Linked DNA regions of Bombyx mori. Each later gene encodes a partner of the first gene's protein in a complex. Links are inferred from orthologs where the notes say so. Each region holds a gene or a part of one and is shown in the gene's direction. Other genes may lie near its edges.

Region 1 (3,950 bases):
CTTTAACCGCTGAATCTACCATCTCATCGGAATCACGATCCACTGAGAAGATTCGGCTAGAAACTCAGTGAGCCGTGTCTGTGGGTTAAGTTGCACGACGAACCCTTTCTCGCATTCGATAGGCTTGACGAGAACGGTGACCAGTGCTTGGAATGCCTACAAACACCGAAAGTGGATTGGGAGAATCTGAAATGACGTGTTTAATGCGACGGTAACTGTTTGTCGTGCGTTAGTCTGATTCGAGTACTTAATTTTCCGAGGCCACGCTAAGAGGATGAACTGGAATTACCACTAGGAGACATTTATTAAACAGACAAAGTGTCTAATCCTAGCTAGTGTTAAATACATTTGTACTTCATTTTCGGGTTGCACGTCTATCCTAGCGTAATTACAGCAGGCAGTTTTAACTCTCGAAGCTATCACAGGACCTGGCAGTTTTTTGTTTGCCAATATGGGGAGATACTACGGACGTTTTGTTTGCATCCTCAGACTATAATAGTCCTATTATTAAGATGCTGAGCTAATAGTGAAAGCTATTTAAAAAAATACAAAATAAACATAAAAATATGAATCCAAAGTGAATCGAAATAAGAATAAATTGTTGATTTGGTTTGGCAGTAAAATAAACTGCTTGCGATTGATGTGAAGCACGAACTTATTGAATAGTAAAAATTGTAAATTTACGATTACTAATTTTTCCATAAAGTATGAAGCAAATTTTTTATTATTAAACTAGACTTTGTGGCGGGAACGCGAGGAACGAAGTTGTTGAATTGTTTTATTTTGTCTATTTAGTATTTCTTCAGGTTTAAATGTGTAATAATGATGGCTTATTAACTGTTTAGTATGTGTGAAAGTGCACAAAATTAAATGTGGGAAAATTAAACAAAGCCGCTGGACGTAGCTTTTCGAGATCCTCCAAAAGCCCACTGAAAAAGTCTCAGTAAATAACCATTTCACAGAGATTATATTTCATCCCATATCATCTAATCAAATTTAATATCATAAATTTTATTAACATCAACTTTATTGCGTTTCAGTTCATATAATATTTTTTTTTAAATATATATAAAAGTTAGGCGTTATGATACGATACGGTTGCCTTTCCAGTTTTAAAAATATAACTAGTAACACTAAATAAAAAATGTCAAATGTCAATAAATGACAACTTGTAAATAGTCTCTAAATATTGTCTTTCAGGAACAGTTTATGTACATATCCAAATAGAAAATTAAAAATAACTAAATAACTATACATCATGTTAAATATTAAAAATCTTGGGTAATATAGAGATAATTTCGATTTCATAAAGTCACTCTTCGGAATGTCAGTTCACTGGAGTTCTGAAATATTAAAATGGGAATATCGCGAGCTCCAGGCCACTGCAATGACCGTGGATTACACGGGCAACAACGTACTACTAGCAGGTCGCAGGTGCCTGGCCATAAAACAAATAAATCAGGAAGAAGATGGCAACGCGGTAAAAAAATATCCTCGCCAAAGTAAATATGATGCTGCCGGTGCTGAGTGGTGTCAATCGTATCACGGGCAAAAATTATGTGCTATTGCAGTAAGTATTTTAAATAAAAAATCTAAAACAATACTAAATTTAAAGAAATTATTTGATGATTTGAATATTAAGTGTTTTGTGAAATCTGGAAATAGCATCTCAACTGAAGCAATTTACTAAACATTTGAAAAACCTAAACTTCCATTCCGTCCATACATCGGTTGTAGATTTTAAACCTTTGATTAAATTCCGAAATAAAAGGCAATTTTCTGAGTAACACATTGTACTTCAAATATTAATTTAAGAAAGCTCACAAACCGTAATATTATATTTTTACCAAAATTGATTTCTGTATTATTAGGTCTATTTCTTTTTGTTTAATTTTTCACATTATTTTAAATAAAATAGTAAGTTATTTTTAGAGCAACCAGAGAGTTGATGTGTATGAATGGAGAGATGGCAATGATTTGACATGTATATGTTCACTCCGTGGCCACACACGGGTTGTTAGTGACACACACTTCCACAGACAAGATCACAATCTTATAGCAACTTGCTCCATAGATACATTCACTCATATGTGGGATTTGAGAGATGCTCGAAAACCTGTTGTGTCGCTATGTGCAGTGGGTGAGTTTATACTTCACATCATAAATAGATTAATGGTTCATTTTTTTTTTATTTACTGCATAGATGGGTGGACGAGCTCATGGCCCACCTGGTGTTAAGTGGTTACCAAAGCCTATAGACATCTACAACGTAAATGCCGCCACCCACCTAGAGACATGAGTTGTAAGGTCTCACTTTAACAGTACAACGGCTGCCCAGCCCTTCAAACTGAAAGGCATACCTGCTTCACGGCAGAAATAGGCACTCACAAGACGTCCTACCACCAGATTACCAGATTCCTTCACCGTTGAAGTTAATCGTTAAGTACTATTTTTCTTACGTGAGTAATTTCTACGTATATTTTTTTGCTGCCATTAATGTTAAGGTGACTTAAGTACATATCCCGTTATTGAATTTTCAATTGTATTCCAATAATAGAATGTAAACCATAACAAGAATGGTTAACAGCAGAAATAAGCAAAATGTTTGTATTCAAATTTCAGCTGGTGCTTCACAAGTGCAGTGGAATAAAGTAGCATCACACATAGTAGCCACAGCCCATGACGGTGATATTAAAATATGGGATTATCGAAAGCCATCCTCTCCAATACATTACATATCTGCACATTTATGTAAAATCCACGGAGTAGACTGGAGCCCGCACCATGAGTATCAGCTAGTTACATCTAGTCATGATGGAAGCATTAAATACTTTGATATTAACAACGCAAGAAGACCTGAGAATGTAATTATGACAAACTTCCCAGTATGGCGAGCCATTTATACTCCATTTGGCAGTGGTTTGTTGACAATTGGTGTGGGCTGGGGTGGTCTGCCTCGTGCTGAACAAGCGGGAGTTATTGGTATATGGGTTGGAGGTACTCTAACACATAGACTAGTGGGACATACAGACACGGTTCAAACTATGGTGTGGAGATCAAATACCTCCCCATCAAATTATCAGTTGGTTACATGGGGAAGAGATCAATCTTTAAGAGTTTGGGCTATGCATCCATCTTTGTTAAAAATGTGTAACCATTATCTACCAGATGATGAAAATGATGAAGACAACAATAGTGACGGTAAGACAATTTAAATTAATTATACATGAAATTGTCTTAGTCACTAAAGGGCAGTGTTGCATATGATGTATTGTTACCCAATCCCACACTTCAATCTTCATGTTAGTACTCACAATTTTCAAAGATAATTGATCATTCTTGACTTAATCTATACATATATACCATTTTTGTTGCTATATTTGTAAATCTTAATATATTGATTTTTAAAATTTCTCTGGTTGTATATTAATCAATTACATTTGAACTTCTTTTCATACAATCGTAGTTCTTCATGTCATCTGATCATGTTGTACCACATCAAAATATGGGGCTTTTTACAGTCGTTTCGGCATGTCTACAATTTTCTAGAGATGTCACAGTTGCTTTAATATCCGTTTTTTGCTATTTGAAGACAAATGACTTACTTGTACCTGCATTACAATATTGTTCAAGTAATTAAGTTAATTAATTATCGTTATCGGCATTCTTTTGGCTGAATGCCCTGGTAATTGGCAAAGACGATATTTTACCGAATATCATCAAAGTAGAATGGTAAACATTTATATATTTTCAGCAGTGAGCTATGCCTCTACAGCTGGTTCAACAAATGATGTTTCTTTTGGTGACAAAGGACAAGATATGGTAAGTTAAAGGCAGTGTCTCTAACTTATATAAAAATAAGCATAATAATATGTTATTACCTGAACACAATTTTCCATATCAAGATTTCTTCGCAGAATAAACTACCGCATAAAACCTCAATAGATGAA
Region 2 (4,266 bases), on another chromosome or scaffold:
CTTTTAATTTGACTTAGAACATCCATGGTTTTTTATTATAAATACTTCAAAGTAGTATTTAATTTCACATATAAACGCTTTTAAAAACCGAATGAGTAGAATTTTATCTATGAAGTGACTCACAAATGGAATTTCTTCATAGAGCTGAACCTTACAGCTATCGATCTAACTGTTCTATGAGTAACTGCAAACTCGCTAATAGCATCCACGGAATTATCGAACCGAAAACAGTAATACCACGTGAGAAATGCAAGACAATGCGAATAAAACTATGGGAATACGAGGCGTTGCCACAATCATAATTCACAAACAGTAGTAATGTCAGAAACAGGTGAAATACGTGTAATGTTCTTATTTAAAGCTGTTTACATCAACTGCAGTACTTACATAAATACAACAAACTGGTGCGATCTAAATTCGTTAATTTTATTGCTTCACTTTATTTATTTCAAATATTTAGTGAATAATTCACTTCACTCACTTTTAAAGCAAAACGTCATTTCATTTACCCAACTTATCCGTGGTTCAACCACAGTGCACAGACTACATATAGAAATTACACTGTTCTCTTTGGTCTCGCTATAATATTACGTCGTACGCGACGTCGGAAGAGGGGGATGGGGTTTCAAACACCTGTGCGTGCATAAGGCACAACAAAAATAACAGGTCGTTCATATAAAACAACCATGAACAGATTAAATTTAAACTGAATTTTCAATTTAGTATTGAGTAATTAGCAATTACCTACTTACAATACACACAATGATTGAACTTAACCAATTTAACCTATCACGCATCAATCGCGTCCTGGCGCTTTCAACTAATAAGTTAAGTGGGTCATAAAACTTTTGTATTTTTTTTTTGAAGTGAAAACTTCTTTAGAATCGTTGTGATTTCAAACCGGATGCAACGGAAAAAACGACAGGTAAGAGACACAAATACAAAAATGTGTAGGATGAAGCTAGCAAAGAATGAGACAGAAATATACATACTATTTAATACAGCGCCATCTGTGAGATTTTTTAATACTAACGTGTGTATAAATGCTCTTGTAGTGAATTTTAATTTAGGATTATACGTGAAATTAAAATATCAATTCACAGAGGGCGCTACCTTACAATTATTTACTAATGACAAAATATTACACATACTTAAGACGTTTAGGATAATTGTATTTTAATTTTGGAATTAATTTTGGAACCACGTTTACTCTGCTTTTCTGACGTATCATTCACAGAGAATAACCATTGAAGTAATCTCTCTGTCCAAATTTGGAAATTATTAAGTCCATTGTTTTCCAATAACCCAAGAAGCCACGCTTAGCGATGCTATGTCATTTTCCCACACTTTACCCGGTTACAGTCTTAAACTAATCAACTTCAGCTCATTTCGCTTCATGTCATTTTCCAATATAACAGATAGAAGAAAACAAAAAACTTGGCTTAAACGTCACGTTACCATGGCATAAAATCTTTAAAAATAAAAGAAGCAAAACAACTCTTATCAAAACAACTACCCCCTGATACCAAGTGTTTATGATATTTATTATCATGTTTACGTACGGAACTGTATCAAATGAGTTAAATTTTTAATTTTAAACGCAATAGTAAATGTGTAATAATGTCTAGCAGATTGGATATATTATGGTCACCGGCACATCATGACAAATTCATTGTTTGGGGCCCAGACATAACCTTGTACGAAGTGGCAAGGATAAAAGAAATCGAGAAGAAAACGACTTGTATGTATTTTAAATATAGCAACAATTTTATTATTTTAAATATAGGACACTACATATCTATAATAATAATAATAATAATGTAGTTTAGTCTTTTAAATATCTTAAAAAATATTTTTTTGAAGAAATCACTTTTAATAAAAAACACTAGACGCTTTTCTTGATAAGTACCAAAAGTCCCCAGTCAGTTTTTGACAAATTAATTGAAGTGTATCAAATTCAAATTCAAATTCAAAATCATTTATTTCAACTTAGATGTCAGTATGACACACTTGTTGAATGTCAAAATACAAATAACAATGTTAACTCTACCACCGGTTCCAAAAAAAAAGCCACAGTCCTGAGAAGAACCGGCGAAACAAACTCAGCGGGCTTTTTTTTTTGTTTTTTCTCAAATATTTTCTTTTTTTTTAAATAAATAGAAATATTCACAATAAAAGAAAAAACAAGTCAAAAAAATACAATTAAAAATAATAATAATAATAATGAAAAATGAAAAGGCCAGGAGCGAGCGCCTCATTCCCACGTAGTGCCATCTAGTAAATAATCCTTAACTTTATAATATGCCTTGTTGCACAAACGTTCCTTAACAGTTTTCTTAAATCTATGAACAGGTAGTAGTTGAACGTTTAGTGGGATCTTGTTGAAAAGCTGTACACCCAGCCCCCTAAAAGAGTTGCTTATTTTCTTAATTCGAGCCGCCGGCAACGCAAGCCTATGTTTGTTCCTAGTGTTCACATTGTGCAAATCGCAGACTCTGGGGAATTCTTCAATGTTTTTACGCACGTACAATAAATTTTCAAAAATGTATTGGGACGCTAAAGTTAGAATTTTGATTTCCTTAAACTTGTCCCTCAAGGATTCCCTCGGGTGCATATTATAAATAGCACGAATAGCCCTCTTCTGCAGGATGAAAATCGTTTCGACATCGGCAGCATTGCCCCATAGCAATATGCCATAGGACATAACACTATGAAAATAACTAAAATAAACCAGGCGTGCCGTATCTTCATTAATATACATTCGTATTTTTTTTACCGCAAACGCTGCAGAACTAAGCCTACTCGCTAACTTGCATATGTGAGGACCCCACTGCAGCTTGGAATCAACTGTTATACCAAGAAAAACTGTCGAATCCACAAGCTCCAGTGTCTCTCCACTTACAGTAATATTAGTGTCAACTTGTCTAACATTAGGTGTGGTAAATTTTATACATTTTGTTTTTTTGTTATTTAATAACAGATTATTAACACTAAACCAATGTACCACGCGCGAGATAGCATCATTCACATCGTCATAATCTTCCAAATGTCGTTTAATTTTAAACAATAATGATGTATCATCAGCGAATAATACGACCTCGTGACGGGTTTCAATAAACTTAGGTAAATCATTGATATATACAAGAAATAGGAAGGGACCCAATATGGAACCCTGAGGAACACCCATATTAAGTAAGACACCGGAAGATCTGGTTCCTTTAACGTCTACTTTTTGGATTCTTCCGGATAAATAAGATTTAATAAGTTCTAATGAAACGCCCCTAATACCATAATGGTGTAATTTCCTCAACAATGTATTATGCTCAACACAATCAAAAGCTTTAGATAAGTCGCAGAAAACCCCAAGGGCATTATGCGACTCTTCCCAAGCCTGAAAAATATTTTTAATGAGATCTACACCTGCATCAATAGTTGACCGACCTCTAGTGAATCCATATTGTTTGTTATGAAGCAGGTTATTGGAATTGAAGTGGTTCAAAAGTTGTTCCTGAATAATTTTTTCAAAAATTTTACTCAATGTAGGTAGTACTGAAATGGGCCTAAAGTTAGAGGGGTCAAAAGTACTACCAGATTTAAATAAAGGTATTATTTTACTATATTTCATTAGATCAGGAAACACACCACCATCAATACAGTCATTAAATATTGTAGCAAGGTAAGGTGCAATTATATCAATAATGGATTTTATAACATTAATTGAAATTCCCCATAAATCACCAGTTTTCTTAATATTAATGAGCTTGAAAGTATCAATTATGTCCTTTATATCAATATTTGTGAACTTAAAGTTAACACTGCATTTATCAACATGATTTTGCAGTAATGATTCGGCGACGGTAGGAGATGAAATTAAAGATTTTGTGGTAGAAGCTGGGATATCAGCAAAGTAGTGCTCAAAGGCGCTGGCCACTTCTTGATGAGAAGTTATTATTCGATTATTGATTTTTAAAGTTAATTCAGCATTGCTGTTTCTGACATTCCCAGTCTCCCTATTAATGATATTCCAAGTCATTTTAATTTTGTCAGGTGCATTTTTTATAATATTGCCTAAGTGCAATGACTTGGCCAATGTACAGACTTTTTTAAACAGCTTGGAATATTTAGAGACATACTCATGAAATGACTTATTATGATTATATGATTTTTCATGATAGAGATCGTATAATCTCTGCCTACTTTTGTGAATTCCAACAGTCGCCCATTCATTGAATGATCTTTTATTATGTAAGATCAGAGTTTTAGAAG
Region 3 (4,175 bases), on another chromosome or scaffold:
GATATTATTTCAATAGATTATTTTAGCTGTACTTTATCTTTTGCTACTTTTTAAATTAAGATTATATATTATATATATATATTTTAATGTAATATAAAATGTACACTATTTAATTTGAATAAAGAGCTTTTTTTACATAAATCTATTTTGTTTCAATAAAATTCCAATTTAAGTAACGAATTAGTAATTTTTATTTACCAACATTAAATGTATACAAAGATAATTTATTTCACTATATAAATGGAAGGAACATCACTAGTTTTGAAGAGAAACCGAATAATTATAATTGTAATAACTCATTTGGTTCTTTTCTGAACTAGACTTTATACGAATGTTTTTCATTTCATGATGTTTGTACTTGTTTAGGTTTTGACCTGAATGGAATTAATATTAAATTCTTTGTTCCTATTAAAGCACTTTTGGTGGTAAATTTTAACAGTTGCAGTAACTTCTTGGCTGTCAATACAAATAACTCCAAAGTAAGCTGTGAACCTTTTCTCCAATAAACGATATATGCTGGAATTGGTGGGAGATTCTCAGACCAAATGCCGTTTCTGAGGCTTTTTGCTTGTGCTTCTGCTGATAATAGAGCAGGGGCAATTTGTGACTCAATGGTATTCTTTTTTAATTCTTTAGGAAATGATGCTTTTGCAAATCCAAGCTCCACCAATTTTTTACCAATATCCAATGTTTGAACATCTTTACTCTGAAATGGAAAACATTTTTGAAGAGTAATTTTTAATAATTTAAGGTATTTTGTTGAATTTGTTTAAATTGAAATATACCTTAGGCTGAGGTAAATGCAATAATACAGTAGAAACTAGATCATCATTATCTCTTCCGATTGGCTTTAATGTCACTTGCTGGCCCCTAGCAACACATTCCAGCCAATTGACTGCATTCCCACTAACTACTTCAATTCCCCACAGCTAAAACAAAACAAAAAGAAAATATTTTTATTACTTTGTAGGTAAATTTTCGTACAAGTTATATTTTTATCACATTTACCTTAACTGGTAGTGGAGGTTTACTGGAATGCCATAGCGGTAAATATATTGGGGCTTTGTGATTGACCAGAACACGAACTGGTGAATGTTGCACTCCAGCATATAATCCTTTCAAAGGTTCATGATTTCTGATGAAATGATCTGGAACTTTACTGGCTTTCGAAAACTTGCTAACCTATCGAAGTAATTTTATTATTTATAGTTATGTAATTATTAATATAGGGTTTTTTAAACAAATACTTACAGGGCGAATCTTATGAACAGATATGGCGAGACCAGCGGTGGCTAGAGCATATACTGCTATCTGTAAACAACAATCAGATGATAGTGCTTCGTTTACAAAGTTATTATTATCAACATCAACTTGTAATTATCTACATACGTTAACCCCGCGATAATCTTGTTGTAATAAATATTGCATGTTGTAAAATATTCCTCCTTCTTTTTGAGACATTTTGATGTCTACAGATACGAAATTCTCATAATTTCTTAAACTTTCGTAAATTAGCTCATCAATATTTTCAATCCAATTCTGAATTTAGATGAATGAGAGAAAAAACAGCTTCAGACTTGTCAGAATTTTTGTTTGATTCTACTAGAGCTCTTTATTATCTTTGGTTAACTACCAAATGTAACCTGACACAGTGTTTAATCTTTGGTTATTACTTACATAAAGCATAGATTTTTTAATTTTTTTGAGGCCTAGTCTTGATATGTCAATAAAAGTATCTTCATACAGTTTAGGTTTAGCTATAAATATAAATGCTTAAAACTTTTGGGAGATACTTCATAAGTAACGCGCAAAAAGTAATAAAGAAATAAATAACTTAACCAAAGATTGTGCTAACCTAAGGTTAACAAATAATACCAAAGAGGTAATTTATGACCTCTAACACACGAGCGGCATTCTGGCACTAAAATATTTGTGCTTTTTTGTAGACTGTGTTGGAGCTATGTGATCAATAATCTCGAATCATCAAGAAAATCTCTAGCTTCCATAACAAAATTGATAAAAAGAATAATTCAGTTGTAGCGTCGCGTATGTTGAAGCTGCAATTTAATTCTGCCACTTTTTATTATTATATTGTTAAACTTACCTAATAAGTTTAGAGGTGACGCACTGCGACTGTCTTTGCAATGTCGAAATAGCTCGTGTGGATGGATACAAAATATTTTACTGGTAGCACTGTTGAAATTCCACGTCAACTGATTTGACAGTTGATTGCCCATTTTCCGTTGTGTATTGTGTAGGTTAATAAAAATATATAATAATGATCACTGTTTTGAATACTATTGATACCGGCCATGAAGATATGATACACGACGCCGAACTGGATTATTACGGACTAAAACTAGCTACATGTTCTTCGGATAATTCAGTGAAAATATACGACATTAAGAATGGTACACAAACATTGGCTGCTGATTTGAAGGGTCATTTTGGCCCCGTGTGGCAGGTAGCTTGGGCTCATCCCAAGTATGGGAACCTATTAGCGTCATGCTCTTATGACAGGAAAGTTATCATATGGAAAGAGTCTGGAGAGTGGACTAAACTATACGAATACACTGGACACGAAAGCTCTGTGAACTCTGTTGCGTGGGCGCCGGCTGAGTACGGCTTAATCCTCGCTTGTTGTAGTTCAGATGGCTCAATCTCTATCATACAATATTCACAAGATACTGGTAATTGGGACGTAAAAAAGATAACGGGTGCACATGCCATTGGTGTTAATTCTATTAGTTGGTGCCCAGCTTTATCTGCAGATTTGAACTTAGATCCGCTTACCAATAAAGATGCTCCAAAGAGATTAGTTACTGGAGGGTGTGATAATTTAATCAAGGTATGTTACAAGTTGTGTTTAATTGTTTACTGACTCTGTATTACAGTAGTTAGCACTCCTAACTGTTGCGCCACAGAGAATCCTGATTTGGGGCCAGATGAATGTGTGTGATTTATTCCGGGTTATTTATTTATAAGGCAAAAAAAGAAGGCAGCAATTTTTCTTTTCACAATATCATATATTGCATGCATTAGTTAATTTTAAATGAAAATAGATATATTTCAACAATAATTAGTTGAATTTTTTTAATATATCTACCTAAAATTACCTTGTCCTTTATTATCGATATGTTCTTAATAAACCCTGTATTTAATGATTACTATTTAATGACATCATAATGCTTCTTAATTATAATTTTTTTAGTTAGTTATTCCGGTTGTTGTTTTCAGATTTGGAGAGAGCAAGGTGATCAATGGGTTGAAGAGAACAGATTAGAGTTGCACATTGATTGGGTCAGAGATGTAGCGTGGGCACCCTCTCTGGGATTACAACGTTCCATGATTGCCAGCTGCTCCCAAGACAAGAGGGTTGTCATATGGTCTAGTGATGATAATGTATCTTGGACACCAACAATATTAAACACATTTGATGATGTAGTATGGAGTGTTAGCTGGTCTCTCACTGGCAACATCTTGGCTGTATCAGGAGGAGATAACAAAGTCAGCCTTTGGCGTGAGAGCACTGATGGCCAGTGGTTATGTATTAGTGAAGTTGCCAAAGGTTTGGGCCAAACACCCAATGATGAAAGAAGCACACTTTGAATTTGCTTTTAATTTCATTTGTTAATTTTGTAATCTGCTAATAGTAATATAAAATATGTACATTAACACTGATCTTTTATAAACTTCATCAAAACCCAGATTTAATCTATATATTCAATTTGATAATCCAATAATTGGGTTGTGACATATCTAACAGGTTTTAAATAAATTGCTATGATTATTATTACTGTATGTATTGAACATGGGCTGAGGAGATGAAGTCACTATTGTCAATGTACACAATAATTTTCAATTTGATAGTATATTTTATAGAATTTAAAGAGATATTTTTAGTTTAAAGAGAAAAGTTCACATGTATACTTGACATGGAAATAAAAATTAGAGAAATGTACTTTTCACCTTGGAAAGTATGTTGCCATATGTCGCCAGAATAACTAGAATAGGTAAAAATATTTGGGTTCTTGTCTTAATTGTTTGTGACAATAGAAATAAAACAAAGGGACATAATATATATAAAAAAAATTATACTTAAAATACAAACTATCACATGTTTTTAAGATTAAAGTCAATTTGTTCTAACAATAATGGCATCTGATAATATTCGG

What was found.
Region 2: the proteins of GATOR2 complex protein WDR59 (region 1) and GATOR2 complex protein MIOS are in contact, whole or in part, in a cryo-EM structure (PDB 7UHY), measured with the Homo sapiens proteins. The link is inferred for Bombyx mori from reciprocal best matches to the Homo sapiens genes WDR59 and MIOS. Residues at the interface, in NP_085058.3 of Homo sapiens: Tyr871, Arg876, Glu877, Arg879, Ala880, Glu881, Leu883, Lys884, Pro889, Pro890, His893, Lys894, Gly895, Ile896, Glu897, Phe898, Gly899, Val900, Tyr901, Arg906, Glu908, Val909, Arg910, Thr912, Phe922, Gln923, Ala925, Ile926, Cys927, His928; in NP_001357005.1 of Homo sapiens: Asp705, Trp710, His711, Arg713, Ala714, Ile718, Ser721, Lys728, Pro729, Leu730, Ala731, Gln732, Val733, Phe734, Val735, Ser736, Cys737, Asn738, Phe739, Ile744, Lys780, Pro781, Leu782, Pro783, Leu787, Cys788, Leu789, Gly793, Pro795, Gln819.
Region 3: the proteins of GATOR2 complex protein WDR59 (region 1) and protein SEC13 homolog are in contact, whole or in part, in a cryo-EM structure (PDB 7UHY), measured with the Homo sapiens proteins. The link is inferred for Bombyx mori from reciprocal best matches to the Homo sapiens genes WDR59 and SEC13. Residues at the interface, in NP_085058.3 of Homo sapiens: Ala525, Tyr526, Gly527, Asp531, Ala532, Asn533, Ile534, Pro535, Phe536, Pro537, Arg538, Thr539, Ser540, Gly541, Ala542, Arg543, Phe544, Cys545, Gly546, Ala547, Tyr549, Val551, Phe553, Thr554, Arg555, Met557, Ala644, Gly645, Lys646, Val647; in NP_899195.1 of Homo sapiens: Val4, Ile5, Asn6, Thr7, Val8, Asp9, Thr10, His12, Asp14, Met15, Ile16, His17, Asp18, Ala19, Gln20, Met21, Asp22, Tyr23, Tyr24, Gly25, Leu28, Val42, Pro59, Trp61, Gln62, His67, Pro68, Tyr79, Ser105, Asn107.

The regions. Positions count from the first base shown.
Region 1 is NC_085110.1:13,175,512-13,179,461, forward strand, and holds the start of GATOR2 complex protein WDR59, read left to right. Parts: upstream 1-1,150; 5' UTR 1,151-1,324; coding exon 1,325-1,570; intron 1,571-1,932; coding exon 1,933-2,140; intron 2,141-2,622; coding exon 2,623-3,201; intron 3,202-3,754; coding exon 3,755-3,822; intron 3,823-3,905; coding exon 3,906-3,950. UniProt on the Homo sapiens protein: As a component of the GATOR2 complex, functions as an activator of the amino acid-sensing branch of the mTORC1 signaling pathway. The GATOR2 complex indirectly activates mTORC1 through the inhibition of the GATOR1 subcomplex.
Region 2 is NC_085114.1:15,850,642-15,854,907, reverse strand, and holds the start of GATOR2 complex protein MIOS, read left to right. Parts: upstream 1-1,466; 5' UTR 1,467-1,620; coding exon 1,621-1,741; intron 1,742-4,266. UniProt on the Homo sapiens protein: As a component of the GATOR2 complex, functions as an activator of the amino acid-sensing branch of the mTORC1 signaling pathway. The GATOR2 complex indirectly activates mTORC1 through the inhibition of the GATOR1 subcomplex.
Region 3 is NC_085131.1:3,993,752-3,997,926, reverse strand, and holds protein SEC13 homolog, read left to right. Parts: upstream 1-1,461; 5' UTR 1,462-2,278; coding exon 2,279-2,848; intron 2,849-3,237; coding exon 3,238-3,609; 3' UTR 3,610-3,675; downstream 3,676-4,175. Other genes in the region: uncharacterized protein LOC101741756, read right to left, coding at 344-706, 786-929, 1,009-1,182, 1,252-1,311, 1,390-1,461; DNA polymerase epsilon catalytic subunit 1, read right to left, coding at 4,114-4,175. UniProt on the Homo sapiens protein: Functions as a component of the nuclear pore complex (NPC) and the COPII coat. At the endoplasmic reticulum, SEC13 is involved in the biogenesis of COPII-coated vesicles.